Regions from separate parts of the Mus musculus genome. Here region 2 is reported to be linked to region 1. Evidence: microRNA targets listed by miRTarBase, many of them from high-throughput screens and not tested one by one. Region 1 holds a microRNA gene; the other region holds the end of a gene's coding sequence.
What was found. The annotated mature microRNA mmu-miR-26a-5p reads UUCAAGUAAUCCAGGAUAGGCU and lies in region 1 at 4,252-4,273, opposite strand. An mRNA with a match to its seed (bases 2 to 7 or 8) in the 3' UTR can be bound and repressed. Matches are read on the target gene's strand: a 7mer-m8 pairs with bases 2 to 8, a 7mer-A1 pairs with bases 2 to 7 and ends in A, and an 8mer does both.

Region 2: miRTarBase lists Srcin1 as a target of mmu-miR-26a-5p. The part of its 3' UTR that is shown has no 7-base or 8-base seed match.

The regions. Positions count from the first base shown.
Region 1 is chr10:126,992,699-126,999,815 of GRCm38, reverse strand. Mir26a-2 (microRNA 26a-2) reads right to left here and starts at 4,286; the gene lies at 4,203-4,286. Ctdsp2 (CTD (carboxy-terminal domain, RNA polymerase II, polypeptide A) small phosphatase 2) reads right to left here. Exons shown (of 8, transcript NM_001113470.1): 4 at 6,707-6,808; 5 at 5,908-5,964; 6 at 3,869-3,961; 7 at 3,605-3,790; 8 at 1-3,455. The coding sequence ends at 3,330. Mir546 (microRNA 546) reads right to left here and starts at 1,376; the gene lies at 1,256-1,376.
Region 2 is chr11:97,505,890-97,513,006 of GRCm38, forward strand. It overlaps Srcin1 (SRC kinase signaling inhibitor 1), which reads right to left. Exons shown (of 20, transcript NM_018873.2): 20 at 3,451-6,759. The coding sequence ends at 6,625. Among named protein-coding and RNA genes, the nearest start is that of 4933428G20Rik, 9.1 kb to the left of the region's middle.

The sequences.
Region 1 (7,117 bases):
AGTGGGAAGCAGACCTCTCCCCTCCAAATGGCATCACGGGAATAGCCAGATCCGGGGTAAGGACAGGCATGGAGAATCACCAGCTTATGGTGCAGGGCAGTTCTGGGAGCTAACCCCGAACTAAAGGATGGGGCAGCTGGCCTGACCTGTGACCTCTTCTCCCCTGAACATGGACTTATCTGTTTTCTAGAAAGAGGGACTGGGGATGTAGCTTAGTTGGGAGTGTGTGCCTGACATGCACGAAGCCCTGGGTTGTCCCCAGCACCTCACAAGCCAGCAAGGTGATCACACCTGTAACCCCAGCACTCAGGGGGTGGAGGCAGGAGACCAGCGATCACCTGTAACCCCAGCACTCAGGAGGTGGAGGCAGGAGACCAGCGATCACCTGTAACCCCAGCACTCAGGAGGTGGAGGCAGGAGACCAGCTATCACCTGTAACCCCAGCACTCAGGGGGTGGAGGCAGGAGACCAGCTCAAGATCACTCTTGGCTAAACAGGAGTTCAAACCCGTTTTTAAAAAAGGAGTAGCCGTGGTTTGGAAATTCATCAAACCGTGTGTGTGTGTGTGTGTGTAGGGGAGAACTAGGACATTTTTAAAAAAGGAGTAGCCGTGGTTAAGTAGCCCAAAGGGGAAACAGCTCACCGTTTTCACTTAGCCAGGCCAACACACTGGATGCAGGACAGCACAAACAGGCCACACTGCCAAGAGGCCTCTGAACAGAGCAGGTCATGGACCTATAAGGGACCCATCTCCCAGGAATGGTTGCTGTGAGGGTCCCATGCTTTTAGTACAAAGCTTTTCTGAGCCACTGTTAACAGGGGGAGGGGGGTTATACAATTATACAAAAATCTTTGGGAGGGAGTGAGATAGGTCCCTGGTTGAACGAAGGCAAATTCACTCAACTTCTTTAATTAGGGACCCATGGGCCTTCGGTGTCCCCTCTACAATGTGCAGAGTGGAAACCCTTACCTGGCCCTTTATCAAACTGGTCCTGTGTCCAAAGCTCCCCCTATAAGAGGGACAGGAACGTCAGGCTTTTGATGCGAAGCCCAATCAGACACACACTGTGTCCCTGAAGAGGCACCTTAAAGAGCTGAACCCGGCAGGGGGCAGATTCCTAGCATGGCTTGGAGTGGATGCTGACACCTGGTCCGGTGGTCTACTGACTCCTGAAGACCAGTCTGCACTGGGGCAGGCGGGCTGGTGGCAGTGGAGCAAGGGCTTCAGGAGGCACTGGCTCCTCTCACTTGCCCTCCTCTCCTCCCCAGTATCACTTTGCTTCTAAAACATGGAACTAGCACAGGGATAGCAAGAGACAACATCTAGCTGACTCCGTGCCACCATGATAGATCCTGTTTAGTTTTGGGAAGAGAGGAGTTGATATGGCATCTTTGTGGCAGACTGCAGGTGGTAAGAGGACTCTGGTGGCAGTCAGGCCTAGAGAGCTGGGGTTTCATGGAGAAGTAACAGGGCTCCCATGAAGCCACACTGGGCTTTGGTCACATGGAGAACCAAGAAGCCAGAAAGGGACCTTAAAATTCAATCAACTCTGAGGCTCTTATTGCTTAGTCAAGACCAGCCCTCAGAGCTTTGTGAGAAGACCCCTCCTGCAGTATTGGGATGCCAGTGAGATCAGGGTCTGGACCTGAAGCCACAGTCAAGCTCCCATGTTCCTGGCTAGCACCTGCAGCCCTCAGCTCACCTTGGGAGGACCCTACAGACACCAGCAAATGAGGCTGGGGAAATGGCATGTGTTTGTCACAGAAGTGAAAGCCAAGGCTCCATAGCCTCGGGCCCAGGAAGAAGTCTGCAGAGTGCTGGAGGAATGCCAGCCAGTCTCCACTCACACCACCACACTCCTCCACCAGGCTTTCTCAAACCCCAGGCAGGACCTCGTGTGTGGAAACTAGAAAAATTTGAAAATATTGACTCCTGAGTGGGAGGTACCACACCTGAACCAACCCACAAACGCTGGCCGGCCTCCAGGGGAAGCAGAGATGGGGTAGGAACTCCCGCCCACCTCGGAGGGAGGCAGGGAGTGGGCGGGACTCACTTAAGGCAGTGAGGTGGAGGCCCCTCAGGGGCCCCTTGTGTTCCCAATGGTAGCTTTCCACTTTGGGGAAACTTCCACTCTGTGACTGACATTGAAAGCAACAGGGCTGAGAGCTCAGAGCTGCCCAGAGCACAGAGCTATGAGGACCTCACTCAGTCCTATAACGAGAAGCAGGAGGCATTTGGCAAATCAAGTAAGAGCAACACTTGGGACAACCAATCAATTAAGTACAACCGGGGAAAGTCCTTCTCCCAAGGCTCTGGAGAGGAAGAGCAGCAGCCGAGAAGGATAAAGGCGAGAGCAGACGAGAGCTGGCCAGGGCGGGACACCAGGAAGACACAGAGGGAGAGCCAAGCCCTCCCCAGCCTTTGGAGCTAATGTCCTTGCATCAGCTAGCACAGAACCCCTGAAGAGCACTTTTGGGATCTACACGCAAGGAGACAGACATCTTGCATTGAACATTTGCATTTTCTTTGTACCCCAGCGCTTCCCACACAAACCTCAGGCCCAGGACTGGAGCTCGGGCGAATATAAACCACTCCAAGTTTAGAAAGAGATTTTTAAGAGTTAAAAGAACAGAAATCAGCTATATGTCCTCCTCCAGGGCAGAGAGAAGACCTCCTTTCCCATGGGAGTAGGACTATGGCTTGGGAGTGAGAGGCTGGCCTGGCACTGGAGCCCGGGTACAGAGAAGTGCCCATGGCAGGCATTCTTGCTGGAGCCAGGTGTAGCCCATAGGACACAGAACCTGGTGGGTCTGCGAACATGCTCTCATATTCCCAAACATGTCTGCAGCTGCTGGCTAGGTTTCTGTGTTTTCTGAAAGATGTGTGTCTGGGCATCCAAAGCAGCCTCCGGCCTCTCCCTTCTCCTTGGCACAGGTCTTGATGCTGAGGGAAAGCCATGGTTTGGCGAGGGAGCCTACAATAGTTTTCATGGCTGTAAAGCTCAGTAGCTCACAGCATAGCAGGAAAGAAGACAAATGACTTGGGTTGAGTCCTTATCTTTCAGCTTCTCCCCCTACTGCACAACTGGGCACCCAGGACCATAGTTTACCGGACGGGCACATGCACGCACACACACCCACACAACCACCTGGGAACTGAGCACGGGGTGCAGAGAGCTCTGGGTCTTGGTCTGATTTCCTGCTCTGCGTGTGACCTGCTTTTGTCCCACACGCCCTGGCTACTTGCAGACCCCGTCAGTGAGGCTGACCACAAAGGCACAGTGTAGCAGAGTCCCCTGTTGGGATGGCCGTTTCTTGGAGCAGGAAGGCTAAGGGGCCCGCAGCTGCCCAAGGCTGGTGTAGACATCATCAGTTCCACTTAGCTCCTCGAAGACTGGAATCAGGTTCAGCAACTCTGTATCTGCCATGTCATCAAACCAGGACTGCACAGGCACCTGGGGCAGGAAAAAGTGACATTATCTGATATTTCCTTTCCTTTCCAGTGCCATTGGAGGCTGCTGGGCCACACAGGGGTTGTGGACTCCTCTGATAAAGCCCACGGGCCCAGCCTGCAGCCACCCCAGTCCCTGATGCGAGCACTCACTGCATTTTCTGGGTGGAAGATGTAAGATGCAGGGGAGTTGTCCAGGATGACAGTTTTCCTCAGGTCCCTTCCCAGGCGGCTGAGGTCCTTGACATAGCAGCCCTGGTGGAACACACAAGCCTCTCGGAACAGGCGGGCCCGGAACACCCCGCACCGGTCCAGGAGATCAGTCACAGGGTCAGCATACTGGAAAAGAAGGAGAAGCTTTAGCCTAGGCTGAGGGCTGGCTCTCCCCTGCCTTCTGCCCCTCCTGCAGTCAGGTACCTTGGCCAAGCTGGCAGTGAAGAGAACACATTCGAAGAGCTCCCCCATCCGTCTCAGGAACTCATCGACGTAAGGCCTCTTGAGCACATATACCTGGGAGACAGAGTGGATTGCTGTAGGAACCCCACAAGGCCAAGGACACAGCACCGGCTCTGCCTGTGCACTGACAGAAAAGCAAGCAGGCCTAGATACCCAGGTCGAGACACTGAGACCTCTGCCCCACCATGGACAGCTCTACCATGTTACCAGGCTTCTGCTGCCTCAACAGGCCCAACCCTAACCCGGCAGGAAGGAATGCACTCCCAGGAGCCATCTTCATTGAGGGCAGACCATGCGCTGCCTCCAGAAACAAGTAATCAAGAACAGGCCTCATGGACGGACACAGCCTATCCTGGATTACTTGAATCCAGCCGCAGCCTCCACAGTAGCCTTCTGTACGGGATTCCAGCAGGACGGCTTGTGTAGGTCCCATCTGGCAAGAACCACAAACTTCTTCAAACACACACCCTCGTAGGTTTGTGTGCACACCACCAGCTTCGAGGACTTGCTCGCTTTTAAAGGTTCTTCAACTAACTCGCCACCCAGTCTATGATCTGCTGCTTCTTCTTTCTTTCTTACTTCAGCCTGCACAAGTGTTCCTTAGGCCCACTCACTCACTTCCTTAAAGCAGCACAGGGGGTGTGCCCACCCCAGTCCCTCCTAGCCCACATCAGCACCAACTGAGCAGAGCCCTCCCATTTAGCAGCAGAACCCTCCATGCAGCTGCAAATGGATCTATCCATCACCTTCCACTTCTTAAGCCTCACAAACAAGCCCCTTCCTCACCAAGCATTGCTCTCCTCCCAGGCTCTCCTCAGATCCACATGGCAGGCAGCCCTCTCACTCAGGCCCCTTCTGCCCATGCCAGAGCCCCATACATTCTGTACATTTCTATTTCCTCAACTAGACAGCAGGGGGTGATGGGTGGAGTAAAGAGCCACAGCTTCGAGGCTCTGTACAGAAGTTCGTAAAGGGGCAGAGGGCTACGATGACAAACCCAGGACAGTCTCAAGCTGAACTTTCTCAGTCTGAAAACAGGTCTCATGCTTGCTAGGATGTCTGCATCACTGTCTCCGGCCCTCCCCTGGGCCGACCAGCATGCCTCTGGGCACATGGTCTCTCACCAATGCCTCGTGGTCCTTAACCCTAGGCAGCAGGGTGTACACGGCAGAGCCTGGACTCTGCCACTCTGACAGATGCATATGGAGCACTTACAGAAACCAGTGTAGAGGTCAGAAAGGTGTCATAGGAGGGGCCTGGGCCAGGGAAGACACATTCAGTAGCTCTTCACCAGAGGGCACAGGAGCAAATCCTAACAGCCCTGCACACAGAGCAAGGCTCGCCTGGTCTAAGCATGGACTGCATGGGCTGGACAGCATATGCTCTTCATTGAGGAGCTGGGTTCAATTCCCAGCAACCCCTGGCAGCTCACAACTGTAACTCTGGTTCCAGGGGATTCGACACCCTCACACAGACACACACGCAGGCAAAACCAGTAATGCACATTTAAAAAGCCACAGTGATGGCTAGGACTATGATGTGAAAATGCCAGGGGCTGCACACAATGGTGAAGGCCTTTAATTAACTCCAGCCCTCTGTGAGGTCCAAGTCAGCTAGAATTAAATAAAGAGACCCTATCCTGGGCTGGAGAGATGGCTCAGTGGTTAAGAGCATTGACTGCTCTTCTGAGGTCCTGAGTTCAAATCCCAGCAACCACATGGTGGCTCACAACCATCTCTAATGGAATCCAATGCCCTCTTCTGGTGTGTCTGAATACAGTTAAGTGTACTCATATACATAAAACAAATAATTCTTTAAAAATATTTTTAAAAAAGCCAACAGTTCTTGCAAACAGCCTGACTACATAGAGACAGGAGTGTTGGCTAGAGGGAAGTGTGGATGATCTGGAGACAAGCCATCAACAAACATGGAAGCTGATGATAAACAGGTTGAGAGGCAGTTTCCCTTTGAGGCAGGGTGTATGCTGGCAAACAGCTCACCTGGTGCGTGGTCCCCTCAATCTCTACAGGCACTATGAAGTCAGCATTGTTGATCGGCTAGAAGGCAGAAGTGCACAGTGTCAGCAGACAGGAAACCCTACCCCCTGGAGACAGCCCACTGAGCAGTTCTTAGCCAGCACAGGGCAAAAAGTATCACATATTTTCCGGTTTCCCTTCTCCTTCATCCACCCATCCATCCTACCCACCAAATTCTACCTGAGGTAAGTTTCAGGGCTTTTGAGATGGGGTCTTGCTACATAGTCTGGGCTAGCCTTCACCTCCTGCTCTCATGAGCTATGCACACAGGCATGCATGCCTGGCTCTTTGGGCTAGCCGTGTTCATCTCCTGTTTCCGTGAGCTATGCACACAAGCATGCATGCCTGGCTCTTTCAAGACTGACTGGCTCTTACTGGGTAACTCATGTTATTCTGGAACTTGTGATTTCCCTGCCTCAGTTTCCCAAGCACAGGGATTGTGGAAGTTCCCTCTGCACCCAACTTAAGGCTTTCTTGAGTTAACAAACGCACCAGTCAGGAAAACCAGATAATGCTTACCTACTTTTTCCACGGTAAGTCGAGACAGACACAGCATTTAGGGTGGGGTGTGTGTGTGTGTGTGTGTGTGTGTGTGTGTGTGTGTGTGTGCCTTAACCTCTTCAGTTTGGCCTCTGGGTATCTGTGACTCCAGGGTGGCCGACAGCCTGTCCTGTCCCTGTCATTTCCACGTTCATCTGCTCACCTTACTGACCCTGCTGTGCGGCTCACACAGGCCCAAGGGAAGGGTACCACGCTGACTCACCTTAAAGGAACTGTGCACAAGGGTCTCATCCAGGTCAATGACCACGCAGATCCTGCCTTGATCTTGCTCTGTCACCTCGGGGAGCAGGCAGGTCCCAGGGATCTAAAAGCAGAGCCAAGCTGCTGAGCTGTGCCCAACAAGAAGTAAGCCCAATCGCCCCTCAGCACAACACTGGGAAGAGCCAAGCTGCCTGCAGACAGTCATCAACACAGGAAGGTCCTGCTTAAAAGCAGAGAGCAGAGGCAGCGGGGTCTAAAGACTACTAAGGCTGTGGGAACATTTGGTGTCATTCTGGGATGGTAGGGAGTAGACAGCAGAGATGGGAAGAGGGTGTGTGCCTGTCCCGAAAGTTTTACAGGGCCCTGGCAAATACTCAGCACAAAGAGTGGGGAGGTGCTCAGGACAGGAGAG
Region 2 (7,117 bases), not on the chromosome of region 1:
TAGGAAGGAAGGCAGCTCGCCTGCATGCTTTATCACAGCTGACTTTGCTAACACGGCTGGCAGAAAAGAAGCCAGGATGCTGTGTGGTTCCATCCCTGGGTAAATTCTGGGGGATCCCCACAGGGGAAGGAGATGAGTAATTCCCCAGGGATGGGGTGTCACAGAGGAAGGAGCTGAAATGGGTGATGATAGTTGGGGGGAGGGGATCAGGGTTTTTTTTTGTGGGTGTTGAAAATATTCTAAAATTAGAATGTGGTGCTGGATGCACATCCACAAACTAAAGCCCACTGGGCTGTGGATGTTAGATGGGAATTTTATGGCGTAGAAAACACATCTGAGCGAGTTCTAAAGGCAGGCAAGCAAGCCGCACTCCAACCTTGCACCCCTGTAATAAAGTTTGCTGTTTCCTGAGAAATGTTTCTTTAGGAAAAATTAGTGTTGAGGGAGAGGAGTAGCCCCCCTCTCCCCCAACACACACACATACCACTTTCCTGTCATAGGCAGGGACCGGATCATGGCTACCTGGCTCAACTAATGCGACCACTGGAGGGAGTCCTAGGTTTCCTTCTGGACCATCATGTGGTGCCATTGCCAAGACCCTGATACTTCAATCTCCTCATTCATTCATTGGCACCCACAACCGTGAAAGCTGCCGCGGAGAAGCAGCTCTGCACCTGGGAAGGTCTTGGACGCTTGCCTAGCAAAGGGCTTATCATATCGGCCCTGCACAGGGGCAGCATTCGGTTCCCAGCACCCACATCAGATAGCAGAGATCCAAGACCCCTCCTCTGGCCTCCTCAGAAACCTTCACTCATATGCAAACTCCTACACAATTAAATATAAAATGTAAAAAGGTAAGAAACCTTCCCAGCACTGCCACAGCTCCTAGAAGACACACAGTTTCCTGTTCTTGGCCCCTGAGCTTGCCCATCCCCCTCCCCATCCCTGTCCCTGTCTCCCACCTCCCACCCCCCACCCCACCCCCAGCTGTCTCTCCTTGAGCTACTTGGGTTTTCCTAGTTCTTTCCTTTCACCCTTAGCCCTGCCTTTGGCCTCTGTAACCAGCTCCAGAGAGGGAGTCCTCCTATTTTTGCTGTTGTTGTTGCTGTTGTTGGGTTGGTTGGTTTTGTTAAGACAGAGTCCCACAACATAGCCTAAGCTGACTCAAGGATGCTTCCTGCATCAGAGCAAGGATTACAGGTGTGAGCCACGTCTGACTTTCATTTATCAGGAGGGAAAAGGTCTCTCTCTCTCTCTCTCTAATCCAGACTGGCTCTAGATCACCCTGCCTTAGCACACATTCCTGATCCTCCAGATGCTTGTATATCCCAGGCTAGCCTCAAATTCACGATCTTGCTTAATCTTTCCTTTTTTAAGGAGTTATTTATTTATATGAGTTCACTATAGCTGTCTTTAGACACACCAGAAGAGGGCATCAGATCCCATTACGGATGGTTGGAGCCAGCATGTGGTGTTGGGAATTGAACTCAGGACCTCTGGAAGAGCAGTCAGTGCTCCTAACCGCTGAGCCATCTCTCCAGCCTGCTCAATCTTACTTTAGTTCCTAAACGTTCTGCTGCTGCATTCCCAATGCTGGGCTTACAGGCTTATGTCCCACTCCCAACTCCACCCCTCTTTTTGTTGTTGTTGATGATGACAGGGTCTCACTATGTAACCCTGGCAGTCTGGAACTAGCTATGTATATCAGGCTGGCTTCCGACTGATTCACCATTATTGGGAAGTTTAAAATCAATCTTTAAAGCTCTGTGTTAGTATTCTGGGTGTGTGCGTGAGCACACATATATGGAGGCCGGAAGTATGTGTCTTCGATTGCTAACCAGGGTCTCTCACTGAACCTGGAGTTTACCTGTTGGATAACCTGGCTGGCCAGTGAGCTCTGAGGACCTGTCCTCAACACCCTCCTCCTACCCTAGGGTCACAGACCTGAACCATTATGCCTGGGTTTTATGTGGGTGGTGGAAATCCAAACACTGGTCTTTATGCTTGTATGGCAGGCACACTATTGAGAGTCATCCCCCCAGCCCTTCCAGTCCTCATACTTATGGTCTCCACTCAGGGGACCCCAGGGCCCGGCCATCCAAGGCAGGTCCACATTGCGCATCGCCACCATATTTACAGTGCTGTCTCTTTGTCCCAGTGCTTGCTGCCAACCAGTTTGTAGACACTCGCCCCCCATTTCCTGGCTGGCTCCTCTGCCACAGGCTACAGTTGGCCCCGGGGTTACCTAGGCACAGCAGCAAGGAGATCTATTCGGGAGTCACTCGGAGGGTGAGGGTTGTGCCTGGCATGATCTCTGGCATGCAGGTGATGCTATGTTTGTTCTCTGTTTTAAAAATGTCAGGGGAGGGGGTAAGGAGGAGGGGGTTGGCTGCTCTCTTGTTTTCCAGGAATACTACAGGAAATTGACAACGACCTGCTGACATTCTCAAAGTCACATGAGTAGCCTCTAGGTAGACTGAGGTCTGACTCAGGGCAATGGCTGGAGGTGACTCATGCAGCGGTGAGCAGGTGTGCTGGTGACTGTTAGAGAATGATGCTAAGGATTCCAAAAATGGCTGGGAGTGTGTACTTTCAGGACCCTGCCTCCCCATGGGACAGAGGTGACCAAGGACAGACGGGTAGATCTGGTAACTCAGCCAAGAATATAGGAAGTCTCAAAGACAGAAGGAGTGGGAACTGTGGCAAGCAAGACCTTCAGAATTCTTGAATTGAGGCTTTCTGAAACCCTGAGTGGGACATCTGGCCCGTGCCCTGCACACTGTGGGTAGCAGGTACATTTCACTGCACATCTGTTTCATGTATTTCATGTAAGTTTCCGTTAGTTCCAGGAGTCTGAAAGTGATGGAGTATACATCAGGGCTTATCCCTCCCAGTGGGCCAGAGGATGGAACCCAACAAGGCAGCGCTCCAGGTAATCTGACCATCAAGAGCTGGGCACTGGGGCCAGGCGGAGCTGAATCCAAACTGTGAGTTTAGAGATCTCTGGTTCTGTGACACAGGAAAGATGCCCAGGATCTAACTCACTGGCGGTCTCTTCTGTGACATCCAGCCTGAAGCTGACTCTTTGGAATTAGTGGAGTTAGCTGGGCATGGTAACACATGCCTCTAATCCCACACCGGGAATGTAGAGGAAGGTAGTGGATCTCTGAGCCAAGGCCAGCCTGGTCTACAGAGCCAGTTCCAGGACAGCCAGGGCTACACAGAGAAACCCTGTCTCAAAATTAAAAAAAAAAAAAAAAAAAAAAGGCGCTTGCAGTGTCCTTCCCCATGGTAGCAGGAATCAAGTGCTTCCTGCCCTGTCTGTCCCTTCTCTGTGCCATGCCCTCTAACTCAGGGCATGCTGGCTTCAGAGTCCCCACCCCTCTGCTCTTCACCCCACTTCCTTCCATGCCCCAGTGAAATAACGAGGCACAGCCCACAGGAAGAAGATCCAGGAGAGAAAAAAGAAACAAGTTTTATTAAAGCCCCAACACTCGGCTAGAAAAACCAAAAGGGACGGGAAGAGAGCGGGGAGGTGGGGAAGAGAGAAAGGACATTAAAAAGGAGACAGAAAACACAGCAACCCTTTCCATTTAGAAATCGTCAATTTACACTGACAGAGGTCACAATATCCACAGACGCCATCACTTCTACACCAACACAGGCCCTACAGGGTGGACGGGTGGGTGTGGAGCCGGGCTGGCCTTGGGGGGCCCCACTTGGGACCTCACTCAGAGCCTTTGCCCGAGGCCCCTGGGGAAAAGAGTATATTGTGGAAGGGGCCAGAGAGAACCCCCCATGCGAGTATCACAGCACAGCGGGCAGGGGTGAGGGGACCAGGTACAGGGTCCCCCGATGTGGCAGTTTCTCTTGTCAAGCACACACTGATGGATAGCGGCGAGGCGCATGCAGCTGGGGGTGGGGGCGGGGATTGACGTGCTGTGGGCTTTGAGAAGACAGGTGGGGTGGGGAGCTTGGGAGGGGTGCCGGGCGAGTGGTGCAGGGATGATGGAACACACACATGCACACGAGTACTCTCACACACAGAGACCCTCTCACACGCCTGCCTGCACCTGCATACAACCATACCCACAGCTGACGTTATCTAAACCCATCCCTATGTGGTCCTCACGTGAACAGCCAGGCGTGTCCACACACATCACACACGTCCTTACTCCCAAGGCTCTCCTCACACAATCATGTTGATACCAGGCAGGTCACATTCACATACATGTACAAGGCTTCACACATACAATATCACGTTTTGCCTATGCACACACAACCCATGCATGTGCACACACAAGTTATGTAGGCTTGTGCCAGCGTGTGCACACACACACAGAGGCTGCACACAATCCCATACAAATTCCTTCCAGGACACACTCGCGCAGTAACCAAATTGAAGAACTAGAACTACGCAAAGCCCACGGGGGCCTTGCCTGAGCTCGTGGGGCAGCCCCTGCATGAATAGTCACTTCTTCCACCTCCCTGTCTCTCCACAAAGGACACTCAACTCAGGACAATGACGGAGGGGCGCACACTCAGGTCTCAGGGCTGAGCGGGTGTGGGGGCAAGCAAAGAGTAGCAAGCAAAGAGAAATGGAGTGGAGGGGCCCCTCCCCCTCCCCTCCCAAGCCAGGGGTCTCTGTACAGCCAAATCAAACCAAACTGCTCCACAGGGACTACAGAAACCAGGCCACACGCCTGTCCCCAGCCCCTCCCCTGCCAGACAGTGGCCAGGGAGAGTGTGCTGTGGTTTTCTTTTTTTTTTTTTCTTTTTTAAATATTTATATATATTTATATTACGTATATTATATATATATAATATGTAAATATATTTTTAAAACAATATAAAATGTTAAGACACTTCACTTAAATGTAAAGAGTTGCTTGCAATTAAAAGTAATTGCATCATTGTGAGGTCCTTTTTTTTTTTCTATTTTTTTTAGGTTTTTTTGTTTTTTGTTTTGTTTTTTGTTTTTGTTTTTTTTTCTGGGAGGGATTTTTTTCTTCTTCTTTTGTTATTTTTCAAAAAGGCTTGCTTGCCTTAGTACAAAAATGACCCAAAGCTAGAAAACAAGAGCAAACTAACAAAACAAAAATAGAAATAAAAATAAACAAAATCAAAGAAAGGAAACACAACCCAGTTTTCCCTCCCAACCCAAACCCTCAACAGCTGCCGCTTGGCTTTCCCCTGCTGGGCGCCAGGGTCCTGGGGTTCTGTCCCTTCAATGGCTCCTCTCTGTGCTACTGTGGGACTGGTCCCAAGACCACACCTCTGTGCTTACATGCTTTGTGCTCCAAAGGGAAGCCCCTCCACCTTCCCGATCTTCTTCCTTCTTGCTCTGGCCCCACTGTAGCGGCTGGGGGCCAGGCCAGAACCAAGTCAGCCTCTCCCTTAGACTCCTGGACCCATTCAAAGCCAGTCTGTCCTGTGCAGGACCCCTGCAAGGTATCCAGACTGGAGTACTAACTGGCTCTTCTGCCTTGGGGACCCTCAAACACCTGACAAGTGGTCACCAGATCCCCACCGGCAAGTCGTCGCATCTCATGCCTTCCCTGAAAACCCTCAAATCATAGAGGCTGGCTGAAGGTCAAGTTGCGCCCTCTAGGGGTCAGAGACTTTACTGCACCCACCCGTCCCGTCTCCCTGTATCCCTCAAACCAGACCCTTCCCACCCTCCAAACATGTTTCTAGGCCCTTCCATCTTCCCCACCCCACCCCCATAAAATAAGTTAATGGCATTTAAAGTGCTAAATTAGGGAACTAAAAGTACCAGATGCCCCTCTCAGAACTGCCCTCTCCCAAGGCAGATCCCCAGGGGCAGGCTGTCCCCAGAAGCACCTTCCATAACAGGTGTCCTGGAGACCTCCTTCCATCTGTTGCTAGCACCAGCCGGACACTGAGCAGCAGCGAGCCGGCTTCTCCCCTGGCACCTAGTGTCCCCCCTTTCCCTCCTCACACCCAGCCTTGGCCTCTTCTCTGGGGATCCCCTCCAGCTAGGCCTGCTTCCAGGCCCACCCTGGTTTGAAAGAAAAACCACAGGCCAGCAGCAGAGTTCTGTCTCTTCGAAGGCTGGACAGACAGTGGGCGTCTCCAAGGCCAGGGTCTCCCTTGTCCATTGTCCAGCCTGATGCTGGGTCAGTCCTTGTCCATCTGTTCCTCCAGGAAGGAACCCAGTAACGGGAGGGGGGCCTCGCTCCGCTCCAAGTCTCCGTGGCTCAGAGTTTGTTCCAAGTGTTCTTGGGAAGTTAGAGGAGGTGGGAACTTTGGATGGACTTGGGGGGAGGGGAGGGGAGGAGGGTGAAAGAGCAGAGGGGAAGAAGATGACAGGAAGTGGGCGGAGCAGAGGCCGCTAGGGAACCGGAAGTCAGGGGAAGTTGGTGTGTTTGGTTTTTAGCTTTCTCATTTGCTCTTTAAAAAAGAAAAAAAGGAAAAGAAAGATAATTAAAGGAAATCGCTTAAAAAACCAAAAACACCAAGAGGAGATGAGAGGGCAAAGGGCCATGCCCCCTGCAACCTTTCAGGCGTGAGAGTGGGCAGGGTAGAGCGGGCATGAAAGGAAGGAGGGACGGATGGCGGGAGTATGGGAGGGGCGGGCTGGGGTGGTGGCATGAGGGGCTTCTAGAAGGAGATGGAAGAATTCCTTGCCCCAAAGGAAGTCAATACAGGGATGGAGGTTCTGGAACCAGAGGGCTTTTCTGAGCCGGGGCTTGAGGTCTCATTCGGACCGCTCACCTCTTTAGATGGTTTAGTGGCCTGGAACAAAAACAGGGGTCAGGGGTCAGAGAGAGCAAAGGAGAGCCTTCATGCTGGCTCCTGGCTGAAGTGTTGAAAAATGGGGAAACTCCACAAGTCCAAGAGACAATTAACTGCAAAAGCGAGAACCAGAGGGGGCGGGGCAGCTGGAGAGAGTGCTCCTCTGAACTGGGGGGGACAGGGTGGGGAAGTGTGTCGTCAGGGCACAAAGAAGGTTGAGGGGAGCCATGGGGTTGGATCAAAGGCCTGGAAAGCAGAGTGGGGAGGGGGGGTTCAGTCCATGGTTACTGAGAGAGGAAAGACAGAAGACAGAAGAGACACCAGAGAGACCCAGCCCAGGACAGGCAGAGGGGACAGG